Linked DNA regions of Macaca fascicularis. The protein of the gene in region 2 purifies or fractionates together with the protein of the main gene of each other region. This does not show direct contact. Links are inferred from orthologs where the notes say so. Each region holds a gene or a part of one and is shown on either strand. Other genes may lie near its edges.

What was found.
Region 1: the proteins of ISCA2 (region 2) and IBA57 purify together in Homo sapiens (co-immunoprecipitation; 4 studies listed by BioGRID and IntAct, with this or other methods). This does not show direct contact. The link is inferred for Macaca fascicularis from reciprocal best matches to the Homo sapiens genes ISCA2 and IBA57.

The regions. Positions count from the first base shown.
Region 1 is NC_088375.1:86,081,970-86,085,773, reverse strand, and holds the end of IBA57 (putative transferase CAF17, mitochondrial), read right to left. Parts: intron 1,874-3,804; coding exon 1,533-1,873; intron 1,441-1,532; coding exon 1,049-1,440; 3' UTR 181-1,048; downstream 1-180. UniProt on the Homo sapiens protein: Mitochondrial protein involved in the maturation of mitochondrial [4Fe-4S]-proteins in the late stage of the iron-sulfur cluster assembly pathway. Operates in cooperation with ISCA2 in the maturation of [4Fe-4S] proteins.
Region 2 is NC_088381.1:142,441,173-142,444,977, reverse strand, and holds ISCA2 (iron-sulfur cluster assembly 2 homolog, mitochondrial), read right to left. Parts: upstream 2,215-3,805; 5' UTR 2,205-2,214; coding exon 2,134-2,204; intron 1,933-2,133; coding exon 1,830-1,932; intron 1,709-1,829; coding exon 1,593-1,708; intron 1,157-1,592; coding exon 982-1,156; 3' UTR 516-981; downstream 1-515. Other genes in the region: NPC2 (NPC intracellular cholesterol transporter 2), read left to right, coding at 2,722-2,803. UniProt on the Homo sapiens protein: Involved in the maturation of mitochondrial 4Fe-4S proteins functioning late in the iron-sulfur cluster assembly pathway. May be involved in the binding of an intermediate of Fe/S cluster assembly.

The DNA.
Region 1 (3,804 bases), on a different chromosome or scaffold from region 2:
CCCACATGCCCAGCCTGGGCCTCTGAGGCCTCCCCTGCTGGCCTGCAGCCATGCCAAGTGCTTCATCTGGTAGGTCTAGGCATTCTCAAGGGACAGCTGTTGCCAGGGTCGTCAGCCAGATCCCAGAAACTAAGCCCCCGCCTCCCTCTCCCCCAAATGAAACCAGAGCTCCCAAGGGGCTGCTTGTGGCTCACTCTTTAATAAATGCCCTGAAACATGGAGCTCACACTTCAGTGGGAAGGGGGAAGCCAGTGGGTGAACAGGAGGCTGCACCCCACGACTGACAGCAAGTCACTCTCACTGCAAACACAGGCAGTGCCGAAACCCAGCACACACATGCAGAACTCTGCCCTGCTGGCTCTTGAGCCCTGAGCTGGCCCTACCCCATGCTCCTGGAGGGCTCTGAGGAGGAACAGAGGTGGGGAAACATGGACAATGGGCACAGCCTTCCACAAGCCTCCAGCATGGGATACCTGGTGGCTCAGCCCTGTGTGCTCCTCCATGCACAGAAACCCACATGCCACCTGATCCAATGCCCCAGACCCCTCTAAACCACGCACAACCCCACCCTGAGACATGCTGGAAACAAGCACAGTGAAACAACTCCCAAAGCCGGAGCCCCAGCCTGCAGACCCTGGACACCGCCCAGCTTCCAGGCACAGGGACCAACCCCCCATGAGGCTCATGCTGGGCAGAGTGGGGTGCAAGGCACAGAAGCTGCCAGTGCTGGCCAGAGACACTGTCCCATCCTCCCAGACAACCCTGTGTGGAGCCACAATTGGGGCCCGGCGCCACCTGGAGCTCAGCACTCACACAGTGGGCTCCTCTGGGGTCACAGGAAGCCCAGTGAGAAAACAACCCACGTGCCTGGGGCCCTTGAGCATGGGCGGGGCCAGGCAGGGCACCTACAAGGAGGACTTTCCCAGATGGGAACCAGGGCTCCCACCCAGTAGGCACAGCAGACAGATGGAATGGGAAGACCCCCGACAGAGGACAGAGGCCCCAGGCCCCAGCCTCCCCATCAGCCTGCACCAGCCAAGGCTTCGGGCTACTTGGAAACTGTAGGCCACCAGTCTGGCACAGATGCGGCTAAGGCCACCTGAGCACCCTCAGAGGCTCTGATGTGCAGAGGACCCTTGATCTTCTCTGACCACAGCAGGGCCAGCCCCACGTTGCCCTGGCCGGCCCTGAACTTGCCCACAGTCTGTCCTGACGCAGTCAGCACCGTGGCACCGGGGGTGATGCCACTGGCAGGAAGGGGGTCCAAGAACCTGACAGGGAAGAGGCGCTTGCGGATGACGCCCATGTGGTGGGTGCGGGCTGTCAGCTCCTGGCCGATGTAGCAGCCTTTGGTGAAGCTCACGCCGTTCATGAAGGCCAGGTTGGACTCCAGCGGCAAGGCCACCCCAGGAGGCAAGTCTCTGACCCCCTCAGGAACGCCTGCAGGGATCGGAGGAGGGAAACCAGCAAGAACTGAACATCGTCTAGCCCTACCCATGCAATCCAGTCCTGCGCGCCCACCCTGCCCATACCTTGCAGGTATCGGTGCTGGTGATAATCCCACAGGTCCCCGAGCCGGCCCCCCGACACCAGGGCTGGGCCTTCGTCCTGGGTGAGGAGCCGCCACCCCATGCGTGCTGTTCGCGGGTCGCGGATGAGGATGGCAGCAGCCCCTGCACTCTCCTGCAACGGTGCATTCCCGTAGGCCTCAGGGGAACTGGGCAACACTGCCCACACTCGCAGCTCCGGGTGCGGCTCCACCGTGACCTTCCGCCGGATCCTGTATAGCGCGAGGTGCTTCTGCAGTGCGCCCTGCACGGAGCTGTCACACTCCAGGAGAAAGCCAGACACCTCCTCCGAGTGTTCCTGGAGCCTGCAGGGAGAGAGGCAGGGGTGCATGCCAGCTCACCAAGTGCGTGGGCCAGAAAGGGCTGCATGACGGAGCTAGCCTTACCCAGGCAGAGGAGTACACCGTGGACCAACGTAAGGAGCCCTGCCCTCAGCCACAAGGGACTGCACCTTCAAGGCAAGCGCCTGGGTCACCACAAGCAGGGAGCCACGCCACAGCGAGCCACGCCCATAGCCATAGCCACAGCTAGATGTGAGCACCATGGAGAACAGCGCAGAGTGCCATGCCCACAGCAATGCCAGGATACGTGCAGACAACGCACATCAGGCCAGGCAGGGCACACCTGGACCAGCACATGGAGAGCCCTGCCCACAGCCACGCGGAGCTGCGCCTCCAGAGCTCTCCTCTAAGCAGGCAGAGACAAGCTCACAGGGGCTAGCGCAGACAGACCCTGTTTGCCCAGGGACTGGCAGAACTACAATAGCCTGCCCAAGGGCATCGTCTGGAGTAGTCCCAAAGCCTAGGGAAGAAATGACAACAGTCCACTGGATGCGGGAGCAGGGACGGGCAGGGCCCCACAGAGGAACGGTATGCACAGCCACTGAGAACCAGACCTGCCTGTTCCAGCCCAGGGAAGCCATCGAGGAGCCCGAGGGTCCTAAGGTGGGCAGGAGGGAGGAGCAAGGAGCCCAGGAGGAGGTCAGGGAGGTACAATATGCCTGAGGACCACTCTACCTATGTCCACCACCTGCCTCCCCAAGTCAAGTCTCAGAACCCAACCCCAGAGCCATTCTGACCTGCACTCCAGGCAGCCCTCCTCAGAGGATTTGGGCAGGCACCACACGAATGACCCCTGACCAGATGGATGGTGGGGAGAGGGGAGGCCCGGGCAGTGTGGGGCATGTCAGGTGGGGGGCACTAAGTGGAGATACCTCGGGTGCAGCCACCTCCATGGCTAGGGTTGATTGCAGGTGTGGACTGCACAAGGCTTCACAGACCGGTGAGAGCTGAGACAGGGAGGTAATAAGACCCCCAGAGGGCCTGCCAGAGAGGAGCCCACAAGCTGGTGGCCCAGCCCCTTCCAGCCAGAAGAGGGCTCAGTCCTTGCCAGCCACCCAGAGCTTCAGGTGCCAAGTGGGGGCCTGCTGCCCTCATCTCTGCAGTCTCACTCTACCCTGTGATCATGCCCACATGCCAGCAGCCACAGAGAATGTTCACCCAGAACCAGTGGGCACAGGTCTCACTGAGGACCCTGATGCAGGGAGGGTGGGCATAGCCAGCTGTGACAGCCAGTGGAGCTGGCCCGCCCTCCAAGACAGTGGTCACAGGACATCAAAAACAACACTGGCAAGGGAGGGGAACATACGTCATTTACACATGTGGGGCTAAGATGATGGGAGGAACAGCAAGGACAGCACAGAGGGGCAGCCGCAGGTGTAGTGCAAAAAGGTCACCACGCCACCAGGGAAACACAGGCAATGTGTCCCAGACAGACGCAGTGGCAAACCCAAACGCTGGCCAGCACGAGGAGAAACCAGGTCACTGGCATGCTGCTGGTGTGGAGGCAAAACGGGCGTCCCTCTGGAAGACAGGGTGCAAGTCCTCACAATATCAAACAAGCAACTACCCCGTGACCTGGCTCTCTCACTTCCGGGCATGGATCACTGAGAAATGAACACTGCAGTTCACACAAAACCTGCTAAAGCGAAAGCTCACAGCAGCCAGCTCTACTAGTAATGGCCAAAAGGGGAGAATCAAGGTGCCACCACACGACAGGGGACTTCTCAGCAAGTACAGGGAGCCGGAGATGGACAGAAGTGGGTGGATCTGAGGGCACTATGGTGAGGGAAAAGGGTAAGGCCAAAAAATAACAGGCCGGTGCATCCATCTATGACACTCCTGAAATGACACAATTTTACAGCTGGAGAACAGGTTTCGGGGTGTTGGGGGTGCCC
Region 2 (3,805 bases):
GAGTTGCCAAGGTCAGCAAATAAAAATATAGGATGCCTAATTTTGAATTTCAAATAGTAATTTTTAGTATATGCAATATTTGAGACATAGGCACTCTAAAAAATTAATTATCTGAAATCCAAATTTAACTGGGCATCCTACATTTCATCTGGCAATCCAATCTAAAAAAAGGTTCCTAAGAATCTATTACCTATAACGATAAAGAGATCACTTCCTGCTGTGCATGAGACCAGAGCCATTTTACAACAGAAGGCAGGTGAAGCAACATATCCTAAAAAAGATTCAGTCATTAAATTGTCACAGAATCTTAAAATGTCTCTATGAGTAGGGAGGCTATTTTTGAAACAATTCAGTATCAGTGAGGGTTTGGTCCAAGTTTTCTGGGCAATGGGCTCTTGGTTTTATGACTCCTAGCAGATCCACGAGTATGAGAGTAAAATGTATCTGTCCCATCAAATAGGAAGTGGCGAATGGGCTGCATAGACAATAAAGAAAAATAGCACATACTGGCAGGGTAAAATGAAAAAGAGAACATTTCATTTACTTTTCTCATCCTCTAATAACGGTGTCCAAGCTACCCAACCTGTGATCCTGATCCACAACACAATAAGAACTTTCTTTAAAATGAAGCTTTTATACATAGCTATCCACATATATACAAGCAGCTCTTAAGGCCAGATAATTTAATTCCAAATTTTAGAGCCATGGAAGCTCTACAGATTATACGGAGTTTCAACCAGTGATTAAATCTGAGGTAACAGCATCTGGAGGCTCAGCCTTAGCACTGAGGGGAGTTGGAGGGAAAAATTAAGCCAAAATCTTCACGTTCTGAAAATAATAGTGGCAAAACACAACACTCCTGGACTGTGGGAAATAAAATTGAGAGGGACATGATTAGAAGGAAACCTCTAGAATTCTACTAATTCCAGGTTCTTCAAATTGGTACAACTGGTGACAATCTCAGAGTCACCAGTCATCGCATCAAAGTTTGATAGAGAAGGAAGACCCACAGGAGCAGCCTTGCTGTGCTTGAGGATTGTTCAACACTTGAAATGAGCTTCGGATCAGTTCTTGGCTGAAGTCCACCTGGGCCCCTTTCACGAAGGCCAAGCTATCAGAGTCAACCACCACTCTTGCCCCACCCTGTTCAAATACCCTGAAAAGACAGGAGGAAAGCATTAACGAGTATCACAAACACAAAAAAGACACCCCCTGGGCCCAGAGGTGCACACCGTCTGTTTTCTAAAGTACAGAGGGAGCTTCCCGATTACCTTTAACACGTGCTGATTTTCTTTTAGGCAAAAATGATTCAATGGAATAAATACTGCGAAAAGTGTAGGGACTTAAGCCTGGAATCTAATCCGGCCTGACTTTCTACCGACTACCCAATGGACCTGGGCAGGCCAATTTTGCTCCTATAACTTAGTTATTTTGATTCAGGACAACAAACCTTCACCGCATCCTCACTGTGAGACGGGCGGTGTTAACCATCCCAAGTAAACCCTTTAAATTTGGAATAAAAGTGCACCTTAAACTATACACACTTTTATCCCTCCTGTACCTCCTTTGGGAACCCATCCCTTCCTCCTTGCCTGTCGTCGGGGTTGATAACTGTATCCAGTGAAAATTTGTATTGGAATCCGGAGCATCCACCTCCTTCCACCTGCAGCCTGAGGAACTCTGACCCCTCGGTGATTTCCAGAAGCCTCTGAAATGCAGGAAGGGGATCAGGAATAGCGGGCAACGGGAGTTAAAGGGCTGAGTGAAGAGCAGTTCCCGCTGCTCCCGCCAATCGCCTGGGTACCGCCGCCCCGCGACCGGCCTTCTACCTGGACGCAGCTGTCCGTGAGGCGGATCTGCCCTTCGCCGGCCTCGGGGCTGGAGGACGACGCTTCCCGACGCGCCTGGAGTCCCAGGGAGGCCGCGAGGAGCCTGCGCGCAAGGGAGGGTAAGCCCGGGGGCAGAAGGGGCACCTGACAACCCTTGACCTGGAGCGCCTCACGCTAAACCTGGTGACCCCCACCTGGACGGCCTTCCACCAAACCCTCACCTCCCCCACAGGCCTTGGTTTCCCATTTGTCCTAGAGGCGCAGAACCAAACACCCTTTCCAGGTGCCTTTCTAGTCTTGATACCTGCCCCTCGGCCAGGGAGTGACCGCTCTCTGCGTCGCGGCCGTTAGGGACAACCCCCGGGCGGCAGCCATCTTCCTCCACAAGCTCCGCCCCGCGCGTCTCCCCCGTTTCTCACCCGGAGCCTCGGGAGGCGGGGAGAACGAACAGGAGGCCGGGCCCTCACGGAGGCCCCGCCCCCAACATACCTATTGGGTAGTGAGGGAGGAGAAGGTGCCTGATTGGCTAGAAATGCTCCCGACGGCAGCCGCGGGGACGCACCCATGAAGCCGGGGAGGTGCTCTAAAGGGAAGGAACGGGGCGAGGAGGAGTGAGGTGGGGCGAGGAGGAGTGAGGTGGGGCGGGGCGGAGGTGGGTCTGGGCGGGTCAGGCCTCTGAGGGGACGGCATGGGCGGAGACTGCAGGCTTCTGGGCCCGAGAGGGCTGGAGTTGGCTCCCGGGGCCGGGGGCGGGGCGCGGGCGGGCCTCGGCCGTGGTTACTGGTGACAGGTCGCCTGACTGGGCTCCTCCCCGGGCCCGCCCCCACAGGTTTGTCTTGTGACCGCGGGCGGCCGCCGCTTCTTTCCAGAGATTGGAACTTCGTTATCCGCGATGCGTTTCCTGGCCGCTACATTCCTGCTCCTGGCGCTCAGCACCGCCGCCCAGGCCGAACCCGTGCAGTTCAAGGACTGCGGTGAGCCCCAGGCCCGCCCAAGGTTCCCGCGCCCTCTGCGGAAGCCCCCGCCGGATCCCCGCGCTGAGACCCCCGGGGCTGGGCTGGGCGGATCCCTCGGGCGGCCAGGCTGAGCCTTGGACCCTAACTGGAGTGGTCTGGGTCGGGGAGAAGGCGCCGGCCTCCAGGAAACCCGATCGCACACAACTTTGTCTTTTTCTTAGAACGCATGTTTTGGGGTTCCTGGGAACTCCAGGAGGTGGGCCTTTTACTGAAGTTTCCTAAAGTTTGTAGGGCTGACAATAGAAGGGCTGTATCTAGCGCTGGTGGAGGGGTGGAGCACAGAACTTCTTTTTTTTTTATGCTTTGTATCTTGGAATCCCGCCCTCCCCCTTCCAGCTCCCTTTGCTTTTCTTTTAATTTCCTTTTTGCTGACAAGTCAAAAGTCAATTCCCCTTTTTCATCATTTATTGTTACAAATAGGACTTCCTTTGGGCTTTGGTATCTTGTGATTCTTAATCAGTTTTTTCTTGTATAAATCTCACTGTGTCTCTAACCACAGCTTGTGACACATAACTCCCTCTCGCCGCTGTGGTTGCAATCTTTGTTGGAAAATACAACAGGTGGTGGAAATTCTGAGTGCCTTCATTGAGTCGAGTCTATAGAATTGTCGGAACAGAACTCGAGCAAATTTGTTCAGAGGTGGAGGTAGAGGGCTACAACTGTCAATGAAAGAGGCATGAAACTGATTTTGTAAGATCTGTGAGTGGAAAGGAAGCACGGAGATCGTATAATCAATCATTGAATTCCAGGGATGTTGGGTAGCCTACCTAAAGTCACGCAGCAGAATGGGGAACTAGAGTTAAGTGTAACCGCCCAATGGGTTCACCTTGCCCACTGCCTAGACAGAGCGGATTTATCAAGATGGGATTTGCAATGGCGAAAAGAGTATTTCACGCAGAGCTGGCTGTGCGGGAGACCGGGGTTTTATTGTTACTCAAATCAGTCTCCCAGCATTCAGAT